Struthio camelus: one gene and its partners. The protein of the gene in region 1 interacts with the protein of each later gene in a biochemical or structural test. Links are inferred from orthologs where the notes say so. Each region holds a gene or a part of one and is shown in the gene's direction. Other genes may lie near its edges.

The links. The genes of interacting proteins can lie anywhere in the genome.
Region 2: the proteins of DYRK1A (region 1) and DCAF7 form a complex in vitro, tested with the Homo sapiens proteins (2 studies listed by BioGRID). The link is inferred for Struthio camelus from reciprocal best matches to the Homo sapiens genes DYRK1A and DCAF7.
Region 3: of the proteins of DYRK1A (region 1) and LIN52, one has a biochemical effect on the other in vitro, tested with the Homo sapiens proteins (3 studies listed by BioGRID). The link is inferred for Struthio camelus from reciprocal best matches to the Homo sapiens genes DYRK1A and LIN52.

What each region holds. Positions count from the first base shown.
Region 1 is NC_090942.1:122,405,698-122,412,612, forward strand, and holds the start of DYRK1A (dual specificity tyrosine-phosphorylation-regulated kinase 1A), read left to right. Parts: upstream 1-3,905; 5' UTR 3,906-3,925; intron 3,926-4,491; exon of another isoform or gene 4,492-4,664; intron 4,665-6,915. UniProt on the Homo sapiens protein: Dual-specificity kinase which possesses both serine/threonine and tyrosine kinase activities. Exhibits a substrate preference for proline at position P+1 and arginine at position P-3.
Region 2 is NC_090966.1:4,187,967-4,195,802, forward strand, and holds the start of DCAF7 (DDB1- and CUL4-associated factor 7), read left to right. Parts: upstream 1-4,824; 5' UTR 4,825-4,924; coding exon 4,925-5,062; intron 5,063-7,836. Other genes in the region: KCNH6 (potassium voltage-gated channel subfamily H member 6), read left to right, coding at 269-449, 1,105-1,303, 1,686-1,973. UniProt on the Homo sapiens protein: Involved in craniofacial development. Acts upstream of the EDN1 pathway and is required for formation of the upper jaw equivalent, the palatoquadrate. The activity required for EDN1 pathway function differs between the first and second arches.
Region 3 is NC_090946.1:57,307,895-57,314,861, forward strand, and holds the start of LIN52 (protein lin-52 homolog), read left to right. Parts: upstream 1-3,955; 5' UTR 3,956-4,041; coding exon 4,042-4,060; intron 4,061-4,136; coding exon 4,137-4,211; intron 4,212-4,378; coding exon 4,379-4,416; intron 4,417-4,876; coding exon 4,877-4,943; intron 4,944-5,781; coding exon 5,782-5,865; intron 5,866-6,967. Other genes in the region: ALDH6A1 (methylmalonate-semialdehyde/malonate-semialdehyde dehydrogenase [acylating], mitochondrial), read right to left, coding at 916-990, 3,168-3,233, 3,565-3,627.

The sequences.
Region 1 (6,915 bases):
GACTAAAAATAGAGGAAAACAGGAAGGATTATATTTTTCAGTGTAATCATACTGAAAGACAGGCAGAAAGAGAGATAGTCAAGGAAGGTTGACTTTAAATTTCTGATTAGGATAGTACAATGCTTTGAATGTTCTATATTGCTTCACTTTGCACTTATTGAACTTAGAGAACCTTGTACTGTTTTGTTGTTTCTTCTGCATTTGTTCTGTTTTTCTAATCTGTCGTATATTTTTTCTCCTCTTTCAATTTTATTTCTCTCAGATCTTATTTCTCCACACTGTACTCTTTCCTCCTCATTTTTCTTTTTAGGTACTATTTTTTCTTATTTTGTCCTCAAGTTTTCTGCTTATTGTTACTTTTTCGACCCAAAATATACTGTGTGTTCTAAGGTCAGAGTGTCTGTTGGGCAGAGAAAACCAAGTATTTCTTAGGAGGAAGTCTACTTGATTATAAAGATGCAAAATCCTGTTTTAAAGTGTGACACTGAAACGCTGTCTAAACCATCCTTAGGTTTTTGACGGAGAGTAAAAAATATTGCAGAACTGGGAAGAAAAGGATTATCAGTCTTTCCTCTCTCAGTCTTTTCCTCTCTCTTTCCTTTTTTCCTAAAGAAAAAATTGTAAGATGTAGTAACTCCTCATTATGTGGAACGAAGCAGAAGTTAGCAAGTGTTTGGATCCCCTTCTTCTGGATCAGTCTCTCTCTTACATATTCTATTTCAACTACTTCTTTCCAAAGCTGATCTCTTAGGAGCTCTAGGTCTCTTGCTGTCTGTGTTTACTTTTGGCCTATTGCATGGAGTTCACCAGCAAACTCAGCTAATGTATACCCTCATCTTCTATCCCTTATTCCCCCTCATGTCTGTCTGTGGAGTACCAATGTTTCAGTTATTCCACAACAACCATTTGTGGGATATGTTACATAACAGATCAGGGAGCTGATCTGGTTTTAAAAACAGAAGAAAACTTAACTGCTTGCAAGCTGAGAGTCTCTGCTTGGAAGACCGTCACTTCCCAAACGCTAGACCCAACCTTTTCTCTACCTGCAGCACAGAAGAGGACTTCTAGCTACTAGTGATGAGATAAAGCTCTGTCCTACTACCAGCCTATGTGCTAGCTTTCCAGGTGGGCAGGATTTTGGTATAATCCCAGCCTGGAAGGCCCTAAGATCTCTAACCCTAGACAACTTACCTGCAGTAGAAGACACAAGACCTACTCCCAATACATATGGGCAGACAACTCCATCCTGATGCCAGCTCTCACCCTAGATCTGTGGCTGGAGCAGGATTCTGGTAGAATTCTAGTTCATGGGGGCCTTGTTCCTTAATTTTAACCATTAACAGCTTCAATGCTTTTGAGCTGTTGAGTTACTGAACAAAAAATTTTGTAGACAGTTTGTGTGTGTATGTATATGTGCTTTTAATGTAATGGACATTTAAGAGAAGACTATTGTACAAGAGAAGAATAGTGTAGGTTATTGATTATCAAGATTATAACAACAAAACAAGACTATGTAGTTGTTATATGCTGGGCAAAAACAAAAAAAAAAAAGGCCATCCCCTTATGTCCAATAGGACACTTCAACTTTTTCCTACACGCTCTGTGTGTTCTCAGCTCCAGTTGCCATATACCCATCTCTGCAAGCTTGGCTATAGCCAACAAAATAAAAGCAGAGGATTACAGAGCAAGTGCACAAATGCATGAGAATTCCGTAATCTGTTTAAGCATTAGCCAAAAAAATTATAAGTTGTTACATGCTGTATAACATAATGTAATATAGTAAATGCCACAGTATGTTTGTATGAGCTTTGTAGCTACCCACACTGAACAACAGAGCTAATCTTCCATTGCATTTTTCTGCTGCTCCATGTCACCATCCAGAGTAGCAAGGAGATTTTAGCAAGATTTACAACATCCTGATGGGGACAGACCTCACTGTCACCAGCGTATGAGCTGCCCTTCCTTAGAGGTCAATTGGACTGAGCTTACGCAAGACAACTAATGCTTTCTAGGTATTTTTGATTTCTTGTGCAATATACCATGCACGCAGATATCTTAGGACAAAATATGACAATATTAACATGGGAGTCTTTTGAGCAGAAGCAGGTGAATCTGTATGCCTTTGTTACACTGCAGAATATGCATGTTGGCTTTCCTCATCCTGGGGTAAGAATTGCATTCTGATCATATTCTAGGGAAGAAAGACGTGTAGCTTAAAGTGACCTCTCAGTCTTTCCAGGAGTGAGGGGAATGAGAAATGACTGCTTAAACCCACTTAAACCATGCTGCTCCTGAACACCTACCATGGCTTTAAGGTGCAATTTCATGGATGACTTAACTTAACCTAACCCCATGCTGTTACTCAATGGGCTGGTCCCAGGCTTCCCTCTGCCGTGTGTTCCTGCCCTATCCTAGCCGTACAAAAGAGGTTTTCCTGTTTTCTGTTTTGTCAGGGTCGGTGTGTCAATTACTCTATGCTAGCACTCCTGTTGCTGTAGAAAAGACACAGAGGGACTAAATAGCTAGAGGTGGAGAGGGTGGACTGCTATTTTCAACAGCAACAAATTCTTAGCTCAGTTGAACTGCTTGTAAAACTGCATTTGTACAGCTATGGTTAGATAATTGGGGACATACTACTTTGGCTGTTACTGCACCTACCTTTAGCTCTGAAATTCAGAAAGAAATAAGGAAACAGAAGAAGAAAAAGTAATGGCACAAGTGTTAGTAGTATGTCCTAATTTCTTCAAGGGGCAAGGCTGACTGTGAACTAAAACAACAAGGTTAAAAAAAAAAATCAGGTGTCAGAATTAAAATACTAGATGAAGGCCACATTTTACTTTTTGGATCTTCATGGATGCTCCTGGGGGAAAAACAAAAAAAAATCCCTAGCGTAGATTTACATTAGTAGTATACGTTCCTAATTCCGGTCCGTAATAAAAAGTGGAATTAAGTCTTCCCTCAAGAACCCAAGGCTCCCTTCCCCACCACATACCCACAGCGTGAGTGCCACACGAAGCAACACCTTTTTAAAATATTTATTAAAAAAAATGAATATATCTATATTTAAATACATCTTTCAGTGCGAGATGGAGAGGAACCCTGCGCCCACCAAGCCCCCATGACAGCCCTCTCCCAGCTCCGAGCAAGGACACCCGCGGCCACAACGCCCCGGGCGGCCCCCGTCCCTGCGGGGGGGCGGCCAGGCTCCCTCCAGAGCCGCCCGGCCCGCCGCCGGGTTTAGCCCCTCCGCAGCCGGGCGGGCCCCGCCACCTGCAGGCCGGGGAAAGCCCCGCCGCACCCGCGGCGTGGAAGCGGCTCGGGCGGAGAAGCGCGCGGCTCAGCGCGAGGCAGCGGCCGTTACCGTTACCGGCCTCGCGGCGCGAAAGGAGCGGCCGCTGCCCCTCCCCCACCGCCTGGGGCCCCAGAGCGCCGGGGCCATCCCGGCCCGCAGCGGCGCGGATATCGTCACATGCCGGAGAGGCGCGGGGGGGGGGGGGGGACGAGGGGAGGCGGCAGTTGCCCCGGCGACCAAGCCCCGCCTTTTACCCGTCGCTCTCTTCCCCACCCTCCCCACGTCAGCGGCTGTCTCCCGCCCGGCCCGGGTGGGGCGCAGGGGTAGCGTGATTGACAGTTGCCATAGTAACAGGCTCGCCCTCGTCGCCATTTTGTCAGTTAGCTTTTTTTTTTTTTTTTCAAAAAAAAATCCCACCCTTCCCGCCCGAATTGTGGAAGGTTTTTTTTTTTTTCCCCTTCCTACCTCCACTTCGAAAAAAAAAATTATCAAGCAAGAAAACGGAATTCCCTCCCCCCCCCCCAAAAAAAAAGAAAAAAACAACAACCCAAAAAACTGTCTTGGAGGGCCCGGCGGCGGCAGGCGAGAAGTTCGCCCCACGCGAGCGAGGAGAGGCTCGAAGCGGCGGCAGCGGTGCGGTGCGGGGCCGGCGCAAAGCCCTGGCGAAGCCGGTTCTGGAGGGAGGGGGGAAGAAGGAGGAGCGGGCGGGGAGGGAGGGAGGGGGAGGAGGTAGAGGCTGGCAGGCGGGGGAGGGAAGGAGAGAGGGAGGGAGGGAGCGAGGAGTTCCCGGGGGCTCGGTACGGCGCTGCGCTTCCCCCCCCCATCATCCCCTCCTCCTCCTCCTCCTCCTCCTCCCCCCGCCCGCTCGCGCCCGCCCGCCGCTGTCCCCGCGCTGCCTGGCCGGGGCTCAGGCCGCCGCCGCCGCCGCCGAGCCGAGGCCGGGCCCTGCCGTTGCCGCCGCCGCCGCCGGGCGCTGCGCAGGTTTGGAACGCGCGCCATTTTGTGAGCGATAGAAAATCCAACCCGGCCAGGAAGCGTCGCGGATCCGCCCGCCGGGCCGGGCCGGGCCCCCTCTCCCTCGCTGTCCGCCGCCCGGAGAGGAAGGCGCGCTGCGGGCAGCCCCCGCGGCCGCTGCTGCCCCCCCCCCGCCCCCCCCGCACTCCGAGCGGCACCGGCACCGCCGCCAGCCGCGCGGGCCCGAGCGCGGCGGGGCGGCCGGACTGCGGAGCGCACAAGAGGGAGGCGCTGCCGTGCCGGGGCCCCTGGCCGAGGCCGGGGGAAGCGCTCGCTCCTCGCTCTGCGTGTGCCCGCCGCCCGGGAGAGGAGGCCGGAGCCGGGCGGCAGCCAGGGGTCCGCCGCCCCCCCCCCACGGGTAAGTGAGACGCCTCAGCCGGTGGCGGGGAGCTGCGCAGCGGGACGAGCTGGTGCCACCTCCCGGCCCGGCGCGGTCGAGGGGGGCGCAGCGCAGGGGGCAGCTCCGCTGCCATCTTAGAGAGAGGAGGTGGGGAGAGCGCAGGGGCCCGCCGAGCCCCCGGCCGGAGCTGGCAGGGCCCGGACCCGCACCGGGCTTTGGACCCGGCCTTCCCGCCGCCTTCCCTACCGCTGCCCCCTTCTGGGGAGGGCCGGGAATGGCCGGGGGCAGTGCTGGCGGCCTCTGCGCGGCTCGGAGGCGGCGGCCGCCTCTGCGGCCCTTTTTCCCCTCGGCGTGTAGGGGAGGCTGTCGCTGCCGGATTGGGAAGCGGAGCGGCGAGGAGGGTTGCGGGACCGGAGATGGAGGAAGGGAGTTTGCCTGGCTTCTCTCGCTCTTATGCGCAACGCCCTGCGGTGGGCGGGTGCGAGGTCTCGCCCCGGTCTGGGAGCAGGGAGAGGGGGCGAGGAGGGTGTCAGGAGTTGAACAATCAGCTGAGCAGGCACCTGTTGTGGTGGAGGCTTTAGGTGCCCCTGCCTGCACCCCTGCAAGAGACTCGCGTGGTAGGTGGGGAACTTGGAGGCCGATGAAGAAGGAGTACCTGTGTATGATTACTGTCATCTGGGCTGGGGGTGGGGTGGGGTGGGGAAGAGGGGAGAGAAGCATTGGGCATATGCACACGGGCATACAGGTGCTTCTGTATTTTAGTGGTTGCCTGCAGTCTTGTAGGAATTCAGCTTTGTGTTGCTGAGGAAATTAGAGACTGCATCTGAAACATAGAGTGTGCTCTCTGTGAAGTGGCATTTCCTCCTGCCCCCCCCCCCCCCCCCCAGAATCGGAATACACAATTAAAAGAACTACAATTAGGAATTTTGAAATGGGTGCGTTTTTGAATCTCAATCAGCTTTGAAGTTTTCAGTTTAGCCTGTCCAAAGACTATGCAGGGGTTCTTTGATCATGTGTCTAGATTGCTGCTGTTACTTGGTTCTCCTATTACTCCACAGTTATTGGGGGAAATAAACATTCATTTTTCTTTAAAATTAACAGAGAGTATCTGACTACAAAATAAATCAACAAGCATGTTTTTGACAATCTACCATTTTAATCATGAAGAGTGTGTCCTGTTAACTTTTGCCAGTAGGCACATGCAGTCACTTTTACATGAATATAATATCCCAGAGATCTAGATAGGTAGAATTTAATTTTTTATTATTTTATTAGTATTTCAGTGTCCTTTCCCTAAGAAAAGGAGTGTAAAACTGAAGAATACATCAATGATGTCTGGCGACAAATAGGCAAACATTTTGTTTGTAGTAGCATTCAGTTATCTGCCTGTAACTGTGTATAATTTGACTTCTGTCAATGGAATAGTCTGTAGGCGTAAGAAGTTTTGGAAAAACTTGTTTCTCCTTTTCTTGCCCTTTACCCTGACATCTGTAGATTAGATATTTTTGGAAAATTTTACTTAATACATTTAAAATAATAACACTGAAATTAATTTTGAATATGAGCTGGTATTTTTCTGTTAACTATTAGCCAGATATGTTTAGTGAACTTTGGGGGGGGGGGGTATATAGATATATACAGAGAGAGACTACTTTTGTAGGATATGCTTAATGTTTTTGGCTCATATGAACTATTTAGAATTACAACTTTTTTATTTACAGTCTGAAGTAGAGCGTGTTGTGTTAAATTTACATTTTCTTCTGTGAATTAAAAATTCCGGCAAAGTCTCCAAGACTTAACAGGTTTAATTCATTGATTTTGAATATTCTTTGAATAAAGTAAGAAGTCTGTCTTGTTCAAAATTGAATACAGAACATAGTCTTAAATCAAGAAAGAGGACAATTCACACTCTTAAATTATTGTGCACCCATTATAATTGTTTCGAGGCTAATAGAAAGTTTTTTACATCAGTAACAATGTTGAAGTTACTGACTCAATACTTAGGAAGATTTTGGACTTGTCATTGGAACCCCCCTCCTCCCATGTTGGACAGTTGCAGAGAAGCAGCAGCAAGGATAATTTTACCAAATAGCAGCCAAGAATTTTCAACGACAGTTTATGAGTAGTGTTCTATTACTTGTGTAAAATAATGATGTAGTAATCAGGAATTTATCAGTTTTTAAAGTATATGGGTTTTGTTGAGAGTGGGAATTTACATATGATGCTCATAAATGACTTATCGCACCCATGTTAAGTTCACACGGAGTAA
Region 2 (7,836 bases), on another chromosome or scaffold:
AGGTCCTTACTGCTTTTTACTCCTTGGCAGTGCCTGCTCCATCCCTCCCATGCCCTGGGGTTTCTCATAGCACCCAGAGACCCTGTTGGGACTACCTCTGGGTGCCAGGGTGATGGAGCTCCATGACCACCATAGGTGCCAGGGTGATGGATCCCTACAAGCATGTCAGGTGATGGCATCTGGAGCAGGGCTGCAGACAGCGCACCCATGCCAGCAGGGCCAGGGGATGCTAGAGACAGAAGTGCTGAGATCTCTCCTCCCCTTCCAGCCACCCCCCTGGACGTCCCCAACATGTTCAGCTTCTGGGAAGACCGAGAGCCGAACCATAACCTGGAGCCCCTGCAACACATCTCCTTGGTGCACAGATCCCGGGACATCCCCTTGTCTGACGACTACAGACCGGGACAGATTGAGTCCAGGCTGGAGCTCCTGCAGGCCCAGCTCACCAGGTGGGGCAGGTCCCAGGTGTGGGGTTGAAGGGCACCTAGGGGGTCTCTGGGCCATCACCCTGTCCTGCTCCCCAGGGGTGGCTGCATCAGGCTCTGTTTGCAGCATATGCCACCTCCTGACCCTCTGGGAGATTGCACTCCTTGGGGAAGTGGTAAGAGCGCTTTGCAAATATAGCAGCTGCTTGAACTGCAAGTCTTGGCCTGACTGTGGCCTAGCACCTTATCCATTGCTGTCCCACCACCTCTGGGCACAGCTGCTTTGCTGCTGCCTCCAGTCTTGATGCAATCACAGACATGAAACCACCCAGAGGCTCATGACCTGAGCCCTTTGCAGGGCTCCTCTTCCTGTTGCAAAGAGCTGCAAATCTCCTCTTGCTTGAGCAAACGAGGCCTGTGCAGATCATTGCCCTCTAAACAAGAAAAGGGACACATTTCCGGATGAGAAGGAAGCACCACCCACACCAGAGATGCAGGTTTAAAGGCCCCGGGCAGCACCCACGCTGCTGCCTCTCAGGTCTTGCTCTCCTGCACAGGGGTTTTACCCACATCATCCAAATGCCACTTACCTCCTCGGGGTGTGGAGCAGCCAAATCTGTCTGTTCGGTGCTGCACCAGTGAGATGCACTGTCTTAACGCCGGGTTGCTCTGTCCCCAGGCTGGAGTCCAGGATGTCGTCAGACATTAATATAATCCTCCAGCTCCTGCAGCGCCAGCTGTCCCAAGTGCCACCAGCGTACAGCCCCATCTCGCCGTCCTCCCACAACCTGGCCATGTACGGCATAGTCCCGCGGAGCCTGGAGCCGCTCACCCCCTGCGCACCCCTAGAGGAAGAGGAGCGGACAGCCCCAGGGCAGGTAAGGCCACCACTCCTAGCTCAGCACCAGCGGAGCCTTCTTCCACCTCCAGTAGACAGGTCCACGCAGTGCCAGTGTTTCTCTCCAGCCTTCCTATACACAAAGCGCAGCCAGGCTCAAGGGCCCAAGCAAAGCCCAGGGGTCTTGAAAAAGCAGCACATCTACCTGGAGATGCTTCTGCACAATGCACTGCTGGTTTCAGGGGCATCTCCAGCATGAGCAGGCTGCCCAGTCAATGGGGAGGGGAGTGGGTTCCTCTGCTCTGAGGTCCCCTCAGGGAAAAAAGATATTTTGGGGTTTGGAGCCTCATGGGGTGAGGAGAGACTGGGGCTACATCGTTTTGCTTTTGCCATAACCGACTTGATTCCTCCTTTCCCCCCAGAGCCCGAGCTACACAGAGGTAGATAAGTTCCACTTGAAATCCAGGGAGTCCTTGTCAAGCGGAATACACCTGACTGTGGCATCTGACGAAACCATGACGATCTACTCCGAGCAGGAGCACCATTCCCCAATTCTCCCGCACCCAGAGCCTCCTCACCAAAGGGCACCAAATACCCAGGGACTCTGCCGGGGCTCTCGCTTCCCTTCCCTTCCTGAGCACTTGGAGGCATCTTCAGAGCACCAGGACATTCAGAGACACCTCTCCGACCCTGTGCTTCCTGGAAGTTAGAGCTGTGGCGGCTGCAAAGCGAGTCAAGAGGAACCTCAACTGCGAACTCATTCAGTTGATGTTGACGTTGACTGCCAGGGTAAGATGGAGGACAATGCCTTTGGCTCAGGGGTATAATTTGTAGCTGTCTTCTGCCACCGTGAAAGGAAGCATAGAGTGGCTGGCTTCCAAGATCAACATTTTCCAGTGGATCCCATAGAGTAGATTTCATTTGCACATTATAGCGAACCCAGAACAGTTCTTTCCTGTGGCCATCAACAAGCTGGGTAAGCCAAACAGCACCCACCTCCTCTTCCTTGCCAAGGCTTCCTCCCAAGAATAGTGCAAGCCAAATGAGCCACAGCAACCGGAGGAGGGCAAATCCACAGAGCTTAGCTGCGAGGCCACTTTGCTGTCAGCTCTTTGGAGCAGGGACCATTGTGTTGGCGCTGGGCTTAGCCCAGCAGAGCCTGAAGGCACTGGCTTTACAGAAAGGGTAGTCACCAGAGGAGGAGGAGAACTGCACAGTGCAGTACTGGGGGGAGCTACAGGGGTGAAGCCCAGGACAAGGACAGAGGACAGAAGCCATTCCTGTCCTACCTGACTGCCACTGAGAAACTAAGGGCCGACAACCCCCACCACTCCAGCACGCTTCAGCACGAGTCCTAGGGCACTGACTTCTCCAGCAAGGCTGGTTGCACTTTGCAAACCCCAACATGCGTATCCCACAACTCCCCAGATGAATCCAACTGTTCACTGGCCTGGGCATAAAGCACAAAACTCAAAAGCACAATCCCAGAAAGCCGAAACGCCCCACACATCTCATGTCCAGCCTTTCCTCCTAGCTTTTCTCTTTTGATAAAAGTTTGATAGATGCTTCCTCTTCCCTAGACCTTTCCCAGCAGACTCCTGCAGCATCCCTTATAGGAGAAGCCCACTTAGCACTGCCACCTTGCCGTTCGGTTAGACGCTGTAACAGTCCTAGGCCGCCTGCTCAAGTAATATATTGAGCTCCCTTTGAGAGTAGTAAAACTGTGAGCATCTCTTTCTCCGGAGTTTTAGTGTACACTTTGCTAATAAAGATGTTTTTGGCACCTAATGTGGATTGCAGCGTGTTTGTTGGGAGCATCAGCAAATTCATCCCTGGCAGTAGCTTCAGGGTCCAGGTCCTCGTCTGTAAAGACCCTTGAGAAGATCGTGGTCAAACCCCAGATGCTTCTGCCAGGGACTATGGTGCTAACGGAGCCCATGAGCAGATCTTACAGATCAAGGATGAGGTCTGCTGGGTGTTTGCTGAACAATTTCTTCCCAACAGGATGCAGTTTGGTCTCAGCAGCTCTTTGCAAAAGCTTTTTTACAAGACCAGCCAGCTACTATTCCCCTGCATAGGTGAAACGATCTAGCAAACACACCTCAGGTAGTGATTACGCCAAGAGTCCTTAGAGCAAGCGGGATGTCAGATGACCATACTGATACCAGAACCCGCTCTACATCCCTTGCTAAAGGAGACACAGCTCTGGGTCCTGTCCAAACTCAATGGCTCCATAAGGAGAGCTGAGCCCAGGTTCACCCATAACTGATCCCTTCTGCTCCCAGCTGAGCCCTCCTGCCTTGGAGAGCCGGGGACTTCAGAGGGCGCAGGGCAGGCACAGCACAGGGACCAGAGCGGCTCAGACTGGGGTGCCCTGAGAGGGGGGCTCCGGGGAGCACCAGCACTGGGCTCGCATGCTCCAAAAATGCCAGGAGCACCCTCCTCCTCCAGGCAGGCCCTCGCGAGGCACTGCCAGCCCTCCCCTGCCCTCCAGCCCATCTGGCTCCACACGGCTGAGTGGGGGGCTGCCCTCAGGCCCTGGCTCCACGCCCAGCTCCAGCAAAGCAGCTATTTATACCCGGCGCCAGCTCAGGTTTCCGCTCCCCATGGCGGGGACGCCGCATCCCCGCACCGTGCCGCCTCTCCTGCTCAGCCCAGAGAGCTGGGGAGCCCCAAGGCCCTCAAGGGACCTGCATGAGCACCTCAGGAGCAACTGTACCCGCATCGGGTCCCCGGGGCAGCCGCGACAGAGCCAAATAGCTGCCCGGCCTGGGCTGCCACGGCTCCTCGGCCCGCAGGCCCAGGGGCTCACGCCAGGCGCGCTGGGCCGCAGCCTGTCCCCGTCCAGCCAGGAGCTGCCTGGGAAGCCCGCACAGGCTCCTTCCCCAGGTAAGGCTCAGGGAATTGCTCCAAGGCTGTTAAGTGCTACCAACAATAAAATCCGATAATTAAGCTTCGGTTAATTATAGATAAACGCAACCCTGTCAGGCACTCGGCGGAGGCGGGGCTCGAACCGTTAACCCCAGCGCGCGCCTGAAGTGCTCCACCGCCTCCAACTCACGTGACTGACACCTCTTCCTGCCAATCCGTTATCAGTAAGGTCTCAAGACCCCGCCTCATGCCACTGCGACCCCTAGCAGCCAATGGGATTTCAAGAACGAGTATGGCCTCCGTCTGGGGTGGGATCAAACGCAACGGTAGGTTACCTCACTCAAGGGGGCTAGCGTCCGTTTGGAATGATGGGTAAAACGACCAATAGAAAGCCAAAGAGGGCCAAACGGACGGGAGAATTACCCAATAGCTGCTCGAGAAGCTAAGTGACAGGCCAGGCAGCCAAGCCGTGTGCAAGGGGCGGGGCTCCCCGCGTGGCTTCCGCTCCCGTTGTGTGAGGGACCGAATCCCAAACGGCCTCCGCGCCGCTCTCGCCGTCGCCGGGTTTGGAGCCGGGCCCGGGGGCGCGGTGCCGTGCTGCGGCCTCGCCCCGCTCGCTGCCGCCTCGCCTCGCCCGGCCCGGCCCGGCCCGGCCCGGCCCGGCCCGCGCTGCGCCGCGCCCGCTGCCGCCTCGTCCGGCCCCGCTGCCCTCCGGCGGGCCCCGCGGCCCAGCCCGGGGCTCCCCCGCTTCTCCTCCTCCTCCGGGGCCCGCGGCCACCGCTGCCTCGCCATGTCGCTACACGGGAAGCGGAAGGAGATCTACAAATACGAGGCGCCCTGGACCGTGTACGCCATGAACTGGAGCGTCCGGCCGGACAAGCGGTTCCGCCTGGCGCTGGGCAGCTTCGTGGAGGAGTATAACAACAAGGTGGGCGGCGCCGGGGCAGGAGCGCGGCCCGCTCCCTTCCCCCCCACCCCCGGGACAGCGGGGCCCCCGCACCCGGCACGGCCCCACCGGGGGTACCCTGAGGGGGGGGGCTGCGCGGCGCCGTCAGCCCCTCGGCGGGCTGCAGCAGCGCGGGGGGCCGGGCCGCTCAGGCTGCTGCAGGCCGAGGGGCTGGGGCCGGGGAGAGCAGCGCGGGGGCTGCTCCTCGGCGAGGAAGAGCTCCTAGGTACAGCGTACAGGGCTTCTGCGCAGGGCGCTGCAAAGTTTTACGGCAGGGCTCGAGTTTGTGCTTGTGCGGGCTGCGTAAGGCTTTGCTGGAAGCGTTATGCCCTACTTGTCTTTTAGTGCTGTGGAGGACTTGTGCGCAGTAACTTTCTTTCTTTTTTTTTAATATATAAACTCTTTTTGTTGATCCTTTAGTTCCTTGCCCCCTCTCTGGGGGCAAGAATGTCCTGAGGCATAAGATTATATCCTCACTATTTCCCTGCCAGGTATAAGCAAGGGACCTAACACTGATAGTACAAGCCATGTCATCACCTCTTCAAATACATGCCCAGTCCTTTTCTGGACAGACTCTAGTGTGCTGAACTGATGCAGTGAATGCATACAGTTGGAGGAGAAATAAAGAAACAGCCATACCTATAGAGCGTAATAAACTTGTGTGAAACTGAAGAGTTTGTAAGTACAACTTTGTACGTAGCCTGTGTGTCTTGCAGCTTTGCCAAGCTGTTTAATAGGATTGCGGAAAATGATATTGGAAAAGTTGGTGTTGGGAATGGGGCTTTGTGCAAGGCTGTAATGAGATGAGGTGACCGTACGGCTGGAGTGGACATCTCTTGCAGTAGTTAGCTTACTGCTTTTGCAGTACTCTAAGCAGTGATACTTGTACCGAGCGCTTTGTATCGTAGTCCGATTACTGGCTGAACGTGAGTTGTCTCCTCATGTGTGTGAGTGTTGTTGTGGTTCTGGGGAAAGGCAGGTCACTGGTCTTGAAAACTTTCTATTTGTTTAGAGACTAACTTTAAAATGCTTTGTGTAGCATGTACTGTGAGAACCTAAAATAACAAATGCAAGCAATATTTTGTTTAGAAGTGGTAGAGTTCATTAATAAGCAGGTATAGTTCTGTGCTGTCTGCGGACAGGTAACAGAGTGAAGCTTTATGGTGCAGAAGGGTGATTTATGTGACCTTTAACTCCTTAAGTCTGGACCGTTCCCTGGGGTTGCCCTAGATTAAGACAGGATCTGCTTTTCAGTCCAGACTTTTCAAGTGAAAAGCAGTTGAGTCAACCAGTGGCTTTTCCGCCCTTTACATTCACAGTTGTTGCAGACGGAAATTGTGTAGGACTATGTAAATTACTGCTGTCTGTAAACATTTCCCCTGGATTCTTTTGACCTCTGTGCTTCAGGGATAACTATTATCCTGTTGACTTCAGTCCCTGTAAAGTGCTGTGCACTATATAATTGTATGAGAATGAGATGCCTGTCTGGATGCTGCTGCTATAGAAACAAAGAAGATGCGTGGTTAAAAATTAAGCCTGTACAATAAATCTAGTGTAATATGACCTTCACTTTGCTGAGATGTTTTGCTATGTCTGATGCTACAGAGTGTGTATTTTTTTTTTTTTTTTGCAGTTGTGAAGTGCTTTCAAAGGTGCCCTCCAAATAGGAGGGTCATTGACAGAGAGAGCTGTCTTAGGTAAATGTAAGTGTTGTTATTGCTTAGAGTATTGTTATTGTCTCCTTTACTTGGAAGACCAGAAGGAGCTTGCTTGGGAGTAGTTTTTCAGTTGCACTGTTTTTTTGGTGACTTACTGTGACTTTTGCCACTCCTCTGAATTCTGTGGAGGACACTGAAATATTTAGGAAGGAAATGACTTCGTACTCTGGATTTTGAACTGCTGGACAGATGCTGTCTGGTCATGTCAGGGACGTGCTAGCTGCAGACTCTTTCAGCTCCAGCTTCTGTCTGTTCATGTGAGTGGTACAACCAAAGGAACAACAGGAAAGAACTGAAGTTGTCCTGTTTATGTAGTTGATACCATTGTGCTGCAAAAGATCTAGAGCTTTTGATTTTATATCCGAAGTTCAGGGATAAGCAGCTGTTTAAGACTTTCAAGGAACTTCCATTTCATTTCATCTGACTCAGCAGTCATAATCTTAGGAGGCTTCTTAGAAATGTTGTTTGGAGCTCCTATTCCTGATGTTGCAGTGTTTTGTTTGAGAAAAATTGGCTTCCTTCCTTCCCCTTAATATGTTAAAACATCAGTCTGGAAAAGCAATTCTAGCTTTCTAAAAATCTAACCCAACAGCTGAAAATACCACTTCCTTATTAATCTATTGTTTTATTTTGAAAAGGGGGTGGGGGGGGTTAAAAAGTTCTGACGCACCGAGTGTTCACTGCAGCAGAAGTGCCTGCTGTGGGGTAGTGTAGTAAATGAGAGGACAGATTCTCTAAGTTTCTATTTCTGTAATAATTACCAGAGCTTGAAGTACCCGATGGGTTACAAATATAAAATGGCTGTTTATGCCTCTGTTTTGTGGGGAATTCAAATACATTAACTGCCAAACCCTGATTTATTGCTATCTCCAATTCCCAGACTCTCTTAACACTGTCAACCCTCTCCCCACCACTAACGAGCTGTGTAGTATACCAGAAAGCTAGTTACCAACAAATGTGTGAACCCCAAGGGAGTTTTGTTTCAGCTCGTATACCTTTGCTGATGAAATCACTGGCATGTGAAGAGAGATGACTTTG
Region 3 (6,967 bases), on another chromosome or scaffold:
AAGTGAGATTTTTATGATCAGCTTTAGTTCTATAATATTTTAACTTTTAAATCCTGTCTTTACCAGTTTAACCTCCTTCTAGTGCACTCTTAAAAATGAAATCTGCTTTGACATGACAAAATATCAGGTACGTCACTAAGAGAGAAACTACAAGTACAACAGGAACGAAAGGAAACAAGAACGATGGCTGCTCCACAGCCAATGGAGACTCCACAGAGACCAAATGAGCTTCATGAAAATAAGGCTTTACAGAGAAAAGCTTCAGAAACTGCTGTCCAAAGGCTTACTGCAAGGTCAGAACCTTGAACACAGTCCCATTTCCATTTGTCCTTGGTGTAGAACTGAGATGGGTGCAAGTGCTACTAATCTAAGTTAAGTTTTGCATTGCATAGCATCAAGTGTCTAAATTCACTGTGAATATTGTGGCTCACAGATAGAAGCTCTCTCAAAGGAGAGAGGAGGAGCTTCAGCTGTCAGGATGTTCCCCTTGGTCTGAGAGTGAAATCAATCTCTATAAGGACTTTTACATTTAGCTGACATCAAATCACACGAGGTTGCATACATACAGGGTGAAAGAAATCCTTCCGAAATTTGCAATACTCTTCTCAAAGCCTTTCCATGAGCAAAAGAAAGGTAAGTAGTGTTTAAACTTCCTCTTTGGATATTTGGATAAAATGGCTTTGGGTTTTACTACACAAGGGAGAGAAAGGAGGTCATCACTTTCCTAAGACTGACATTTCATATGAAGATGCAACTGAGAAGCAATTGCACAGTTCTAAATCTGTCTTATTCTCCAAGTCTAAGACTTTCTCAAGAAATATAGGTACTTTTCCCTCCCACCAGATGACTCAATGGAGGCACAGACCCTTGCTGCACAGTGACTGCTGATAGATACGCAGAGGCCATTTCACTTACTGGGTTGTGGATATCGATCCATTCAGTAGTTTTGGACTCAACAAACTTCCCATCAATGAACAGTTTGGTTGTTGGCTGTGGAAGACAAACACGGGACAATGAGTGATCTTTGCCTCAAGGTGCCTACACACTAACGTGCCTTATTACAGGCAGGCCTTCACCACTCACTGCTATGCTGCCTGTTAGAGGGCAAAGTCCCAATACTTTACAGTTATGTCCAGCTAATTCTTCAGGCTGAATTTTTTCATGCTGTCCACCCTTTCCCCCCCCCCCCGCCTTTTTTAATGGAATTGGCCATAATTCTTTCTAAAAGCAGTTCAAGAAAAAATACATTGTTATGCTTATATTCAGAAGTATTTCAGTCTACTCAATCACCCAAAGTTTACCAAGTTAGAAGACTGAAAAATTGCAATTCATAAATATTCAGAAAAAATGGTGAATATTTCCACCTCGTGAGAATTCCATGTACCCAGTGCAGACTGTACTACACACTTCATTCCCATCAAGCCACTAAGTCAGTCACCTCCCCAGCTCATAGCTGCAGGCATAAAACTGAATGGTCCTTTGGCCTTGGAACTAAAAGCAAGGAAACTACATCCACCGAAGTCACAGCGATTGTCCTGGCAGGCAGCATGGGGGACAGAACTCTGCAATTCAGGCGCAGAACAGAGAAAAGCAAAGTTTGGAATAAAAGTTCAGCTAAATTTAGGGCAGGAGGAAAAGCAGGGATAGAAGCTGTAATTATCACTGGATAGGCAACAAGACTGTAGCAAGCAGGAAACCAGAATGGGACTGCATAAATGAAGAAACTGGATACTAAGAGTACAGAGTTGATACTGGGAGGTAAGGAGAGAACCAGGAGAAAGCGGGAACCAGTTAATCATGCAGAGAACAGCGAGGAAGGATAAAGAACTGCAGGGAGACGAGGTCAGAAAGCAGTGGCGTGGGGAGAACAGATAAGATAAAGGGGAAACAGACCTGCAGTATGAAGAACAGAAATGGGACATGCCTGACAAAAAGATTAGAATATAAAAAAAAAATATCAGGGAGCTGTGTGAAGGAAAGAAATTAGGCCATAGAATTATGAGAGAGATGAGGATTGCAATGCCTTCCAAGGCATAATGAAGGGACAGAGATGAGAGGAAGAATCAGGAAAAGAAATGGGATTGGCTGGACAAGCAGTAAGAGTCAAAAGCGGATGAGAGTAGAAAAAAAAAAAAAAGCCCACGTAGCACATATCTGCAGTGGACATATAGGCTCCAAAGCTACATGACCCATGTGGGCTTCGGTACAATGGAACTTACCTTTTTTAAGCAATTTGAAAAAACATATTTAGGGAATTCCTCATGCAAGGAAAAATTACACTCTACAGTTTAGGAAATGCTAGAATCAATATTGACTGTACTTGTTCCATAAGATGCCCCTGCTCTTCTTCTCTAGAGAATGAGCCTGTTCTGGGAACAATGACTGTGGAAAAGCAGACTTTTTGGACAATCATGATTTATCTGTTCCAAACTTGGAAACTGTACAGTTGTGGATAGCAGATGAGAAAAGATACTATACTAGCTAAAGCAGTTAAATACTGCCCTAAGAGAAGCAGATTCTGTCTCTGCCATAGATGGACTACGTGAGGCCAGTCATACAACTTAACATAACCTTTTTTTCACACAGGATCATTAATCACATATTCTTTATTTTTTGCTGCTCTAACTAACTGAAGATATATCACACACAGCAAAGGAAGTCTAAAAATCAGAAAAAAACCTGGCTACTTAGTAAACTGTGTGCTATTTAATAAACACGGAGAAAACAAAACACCAAGCAGTGGTCAACCGAACTAGCATATCGTCCTTAGGTACACGCGCAGGAGTCGATAGAAAAAGTAACGTGGGATAACTGCACTAACGGCTAGAGCACAGCTCAAGGAGGGAGCGTTCAGTCAGAGCTGGTACTCCTTCACTCTGGAGTCAAACACATCTGACGTCTAACTAGTGTTTTTCTTTCCTTTCCTCCTATTGACCAAAGGGGCCCTCCGTGCCCTGTTCCCTGCGAGTCGCCAGTGTTTGCTCCAGAGATGCCAGGCAGGAGTCACGGGGAGGCGAACCGACAGAAACGACCTCAAAAGAGCAGACTGGAATAAAGTCTCTGGCTGTGTCAGGAGCAAAGCCAGAGAGGCTCCTCGGGGCTGGGGCCGGGGCGGGCTCCCCCGCCGCCCCCCGCCCGCTGGCTCTGACCCGCGGCGCCGGACTCACCACCGAGGAGGAGGAGGAGGAGGCGGCGGCTGAGGCGATCCAAGGGGCACCGGCTCTCCGCGGCAGCTGGACGGGACGGAAACACACACAAACGCGGTTCCGGGCAGCGCTCCCGACGGCGGGTCAGCGCCCCCGGCCCGGCCCGCCCCCACCCCGGGCCAGGCAGCCGCCGACCCAGCGGCGCCGCCACCGCGCTGCCCGCCCTTCCTGGGCCGCACCGGCTGCTCCCCCCGCCGCCGCAGCCCCTCGCCGCCGCCCCCCGCGCGGGGCTCCCGAGCCAGGCGGGCCGCGCCCCCCTGCGCCGCCCGGGCCGAACCGAGCCGCGGCGCGCCGCCACGGCGGGGGGAGGGTGGGGAGAGGAGCGGGGGGGTAACGGCTGCCGCTGCCGCCGCCTCACCCTGAGCGCCGCGCGCCGCCCGCCCCAGGCGCCGCGCGCCGCCGCCGCCGCCGCCGCCGCCATCCCGGGCCAGAGTGCTGCGCCGCGCCCCCCGACGGCACCCCTCGCCCCGACCCGCCGCGGCCCGAAGCACCGCCCCCGCGCTCTCATTGGCCGCTTGGGCGCCGGCCTCGCCCACTCCCCGCCCCCTCCTGGACCGCCCTCGCGGCTCTCGGCCAATCGCCGTCGGAGAGCCCCCTCGCCGCGCCCCCCGGCCCCACCGCCCACCGTTGCGGGGTGCCCATTGGCCGCCCGCCCCAAGACGCCCACTGGCCGTCGCAGCTCGGATTGGCCGAGCGTCGGCGGGCGGCCACGCCTCCTGGTGGCGGCGGCCACAGCGACACGTGAGGTTTCGGGGCTGGGCCTCGGGGGCGGGGGTTGCGGGTCACGTGGGCGGATCCCGCGGGCCGTGGCGGCGGGTCACGTGACACGGGCAAGATGGCGGCTCCCGGGGACGGTGAGGCGGGAGGGGGTGGTCGGGGTGCCGCTCCTCGCTGGTGGGTTGTGTGGAGGCTCATCCCTGTCTGTTGCAGGCGCGGACCTGGAGGCCTCGCTGCTGAGCTTCGAGAAGCTGGACCGAGCCTCCCCGGACCTGTGGCCCGAGCAGCGTAAGTCCCGCCCCGAGCCCGGTGGCCCTCGTTGGCCTCAGCGCCTCGGGGGGCCTGGTGGGGCCCCTCCGTCTCGGCAGGCGGTAGCGGCCTTGCCCATGGGCAGGAGGCCGTAGTGCTCTGTAGCCGCAACCGCTCACCTGGTGTTTTCTTTTCTTTTTTTTCAGTACCAGGTGTTGCTGAATTTGCTGCCTCCTTCAAAAGTGTAAGCAACGTTTAGTTTGCACCTCGTGTTTTCCCGTTTCCTGCCTGTTGATAGATCTGCTTTTTCCTGTTGTGAGCTTCGTGACCTTTTTCTCTAAAATATTTCTTAACTGTAACTTCAGAATGTTTCAGTATAAGCCTTTGCTTCTCTTCTTATACCTTGTTGTGAATGTAGTGTGTTGGTTCTTGGAAGAAATAAAAGATTTTTAGAAAAACTGTAGAAAATGCTGTTCTTTATGCTGTTTTCAGCTTTTGAGTGGTATGTACTGGTGTTACTTTCAAAAATTATAGAAAAAGTTAGAAAGTTAGGTTAAGTGTAGGAAAATCTCTACAGAGCACCTATTATCCTTTTATTTTTACTGTCAGTGTGAGTATTTTCTAGAATCCTAGACCACATTTTGTTTGTATGCTGCTATAAATACACTTTTCTGAGCTATGTTTTTTTTTTTCCCCTCAAACAGCCTATTACTAGTTCTCCTCCCAAATGGATGGCTGAATTAGAAAATGATGATATTGATATGTTAAAGGGTGAGTATGGGCAGTGCCTTTGAGTAGCAGGTAAGATTACTAAAGCAGATGGGTGGGGGTTTTTTTTGTTTCCTTTTTAAGGGGAGAGAAGGGACAGGTGGAGGAACAGCTAAGTAGACGATATTTTCTTAAAATGTGGTGTAGAGCAAGCTATGTCACATGAATCCACTAATATTTTTCAATGACATGGAGCACTACCAACTGCAGTGTAACTAAAGGGTTAAGGCAATAGATTCTACCTACTTGGGGTGACTATGTGAATACCACTGCTTGGCTGTGGTTCAGTAGTGCCTAGTGTACTGAGTTGTGAAGGAATGAACACAGCAGGATCGATGCTCAAAAGCTGTCCATGCTAATGATCTGGAAGAATTAGTTTACTCAAAGAATTCAACCGCTTAGAAATAGCGTAAGACAAGATCATGAAGAACTCTATGGCAATAACAAAGAAGAAAAATAGCAGAATACGCTTCCTGGGGTGATGCCTTAGGCAATGATAATGGTACCTGTTTGCATGAAACTAGACAGGCTCGCTTAAATATGTAGTGCGAATAAGCTTCTGCTAGAGAGCTTACAAAGGTGAAGATATTTTTCTCACTATCGGTGATTTTTTGAACCATTGGATCCTAGCATTTCTGGCAAGCAAAACGACTTTGAGGTTGTTATAAGTCTTTCGTGCTTCTGAGATTTGAAATGTGAGAGTTAAAGAATGTATTTTGTTCAGTGGAAACGGGTATTGTCAAAAGTTGGACTTGAAGGTGCTCTGTGAAGTAGTAAGCCCAGGTACATTGCCACTAGAGGGCTATACGCTGTTAAAAATCATGCTTTTCTGTGTTTTTAGAGTTGGGGAGCCTCACTACTGCTAACCTGATGGAGAAGGTTCGAGGCCTGCAGAACCTGGCTTATCAGCTGGGACTGGATGAATGTAAGTGCTGTAGGCAGATGTGGCTGACTGCATTGCAAATATGTACTCATCCTATATCTATAGCTGGAAAATGTATCGGCAGCCCTGGCAAGCATCTCACAGTAATAATGGTGCAGTAGGAAGTCCTCCCAAGAGAAAGAGTGCTGAATGATACTCTCTTAGCAGCTGCCCAAAGCAAATCTGTCAGGTGCACAGTGTGACTTAATGGGTCACATTTAGAATTTTGTAACTTTCAGTTTCATTTCTAATGTTGAGTTAAGACCTATTTGTGTGATAGATAAACAAGGTGGTAATTTGTGTATGTGATCTTCCAAAATGGGGAGAGAGAACTTACAGCCTCTACGACAAGAGGTCATGGTTATGCCATCTGATGTTGTGTAGTGGCCCATAGACTTCTGTTCCTGATTTATATTGGTTTAGATAAATTGTCATGCTTTGTTTAATTCCCACTTGGATATTAAAAATATTTTCAGGTTATTTATGCCAATATTTCTGTGAAACTTAAGTGTACTATCTCCACAGTGGAACTTTCACTTGTGTGTAGGATTCTGCTACCAGTTAGTGTTTATAGTTAATTTCCAGCGTCTGTAATTGGTGGTTTTTTTCTACTGTTGGCTGTGAATAGAGCTCATGTCATCCAGTACTAAAGTTGAACTGCATCCCGCTGACTAGCAGCCAATTTTTGTCAAACTTTTGAAGAAGGAATTGCCTTCATCAACACGTTCAAGGCTCTTGTTATCAGGCTGATTTAAGGGGACTGAGGTTCCTTTAAACCCTGTCTGTAGGGTACCTATTTACTTATTTAATATTTTCTGCTTGGTTTTGCTTTAGCTTAGGCTCTACTTGAGTTACTCTGGGGTAAGCACAAAGCTTTGAAAGTTTTAAAACTGTCATTGAGACTAGGAAAAACCCTTCATGTTCCTTGTTAGCTTTATATGGTGATATAAGTAACGTGGTGTGAAGCCTTTCACTTCTTTTTCAGTGGACAGCAAAAAGCAGTAGTACTATCTTTAGAATCTTACTGACTCTAAGTATAGGATACTCTAATGCTTTCTTCCCAGATAGGTTGTTAAGCATGTTTTAACACACCCCTGCATGCACA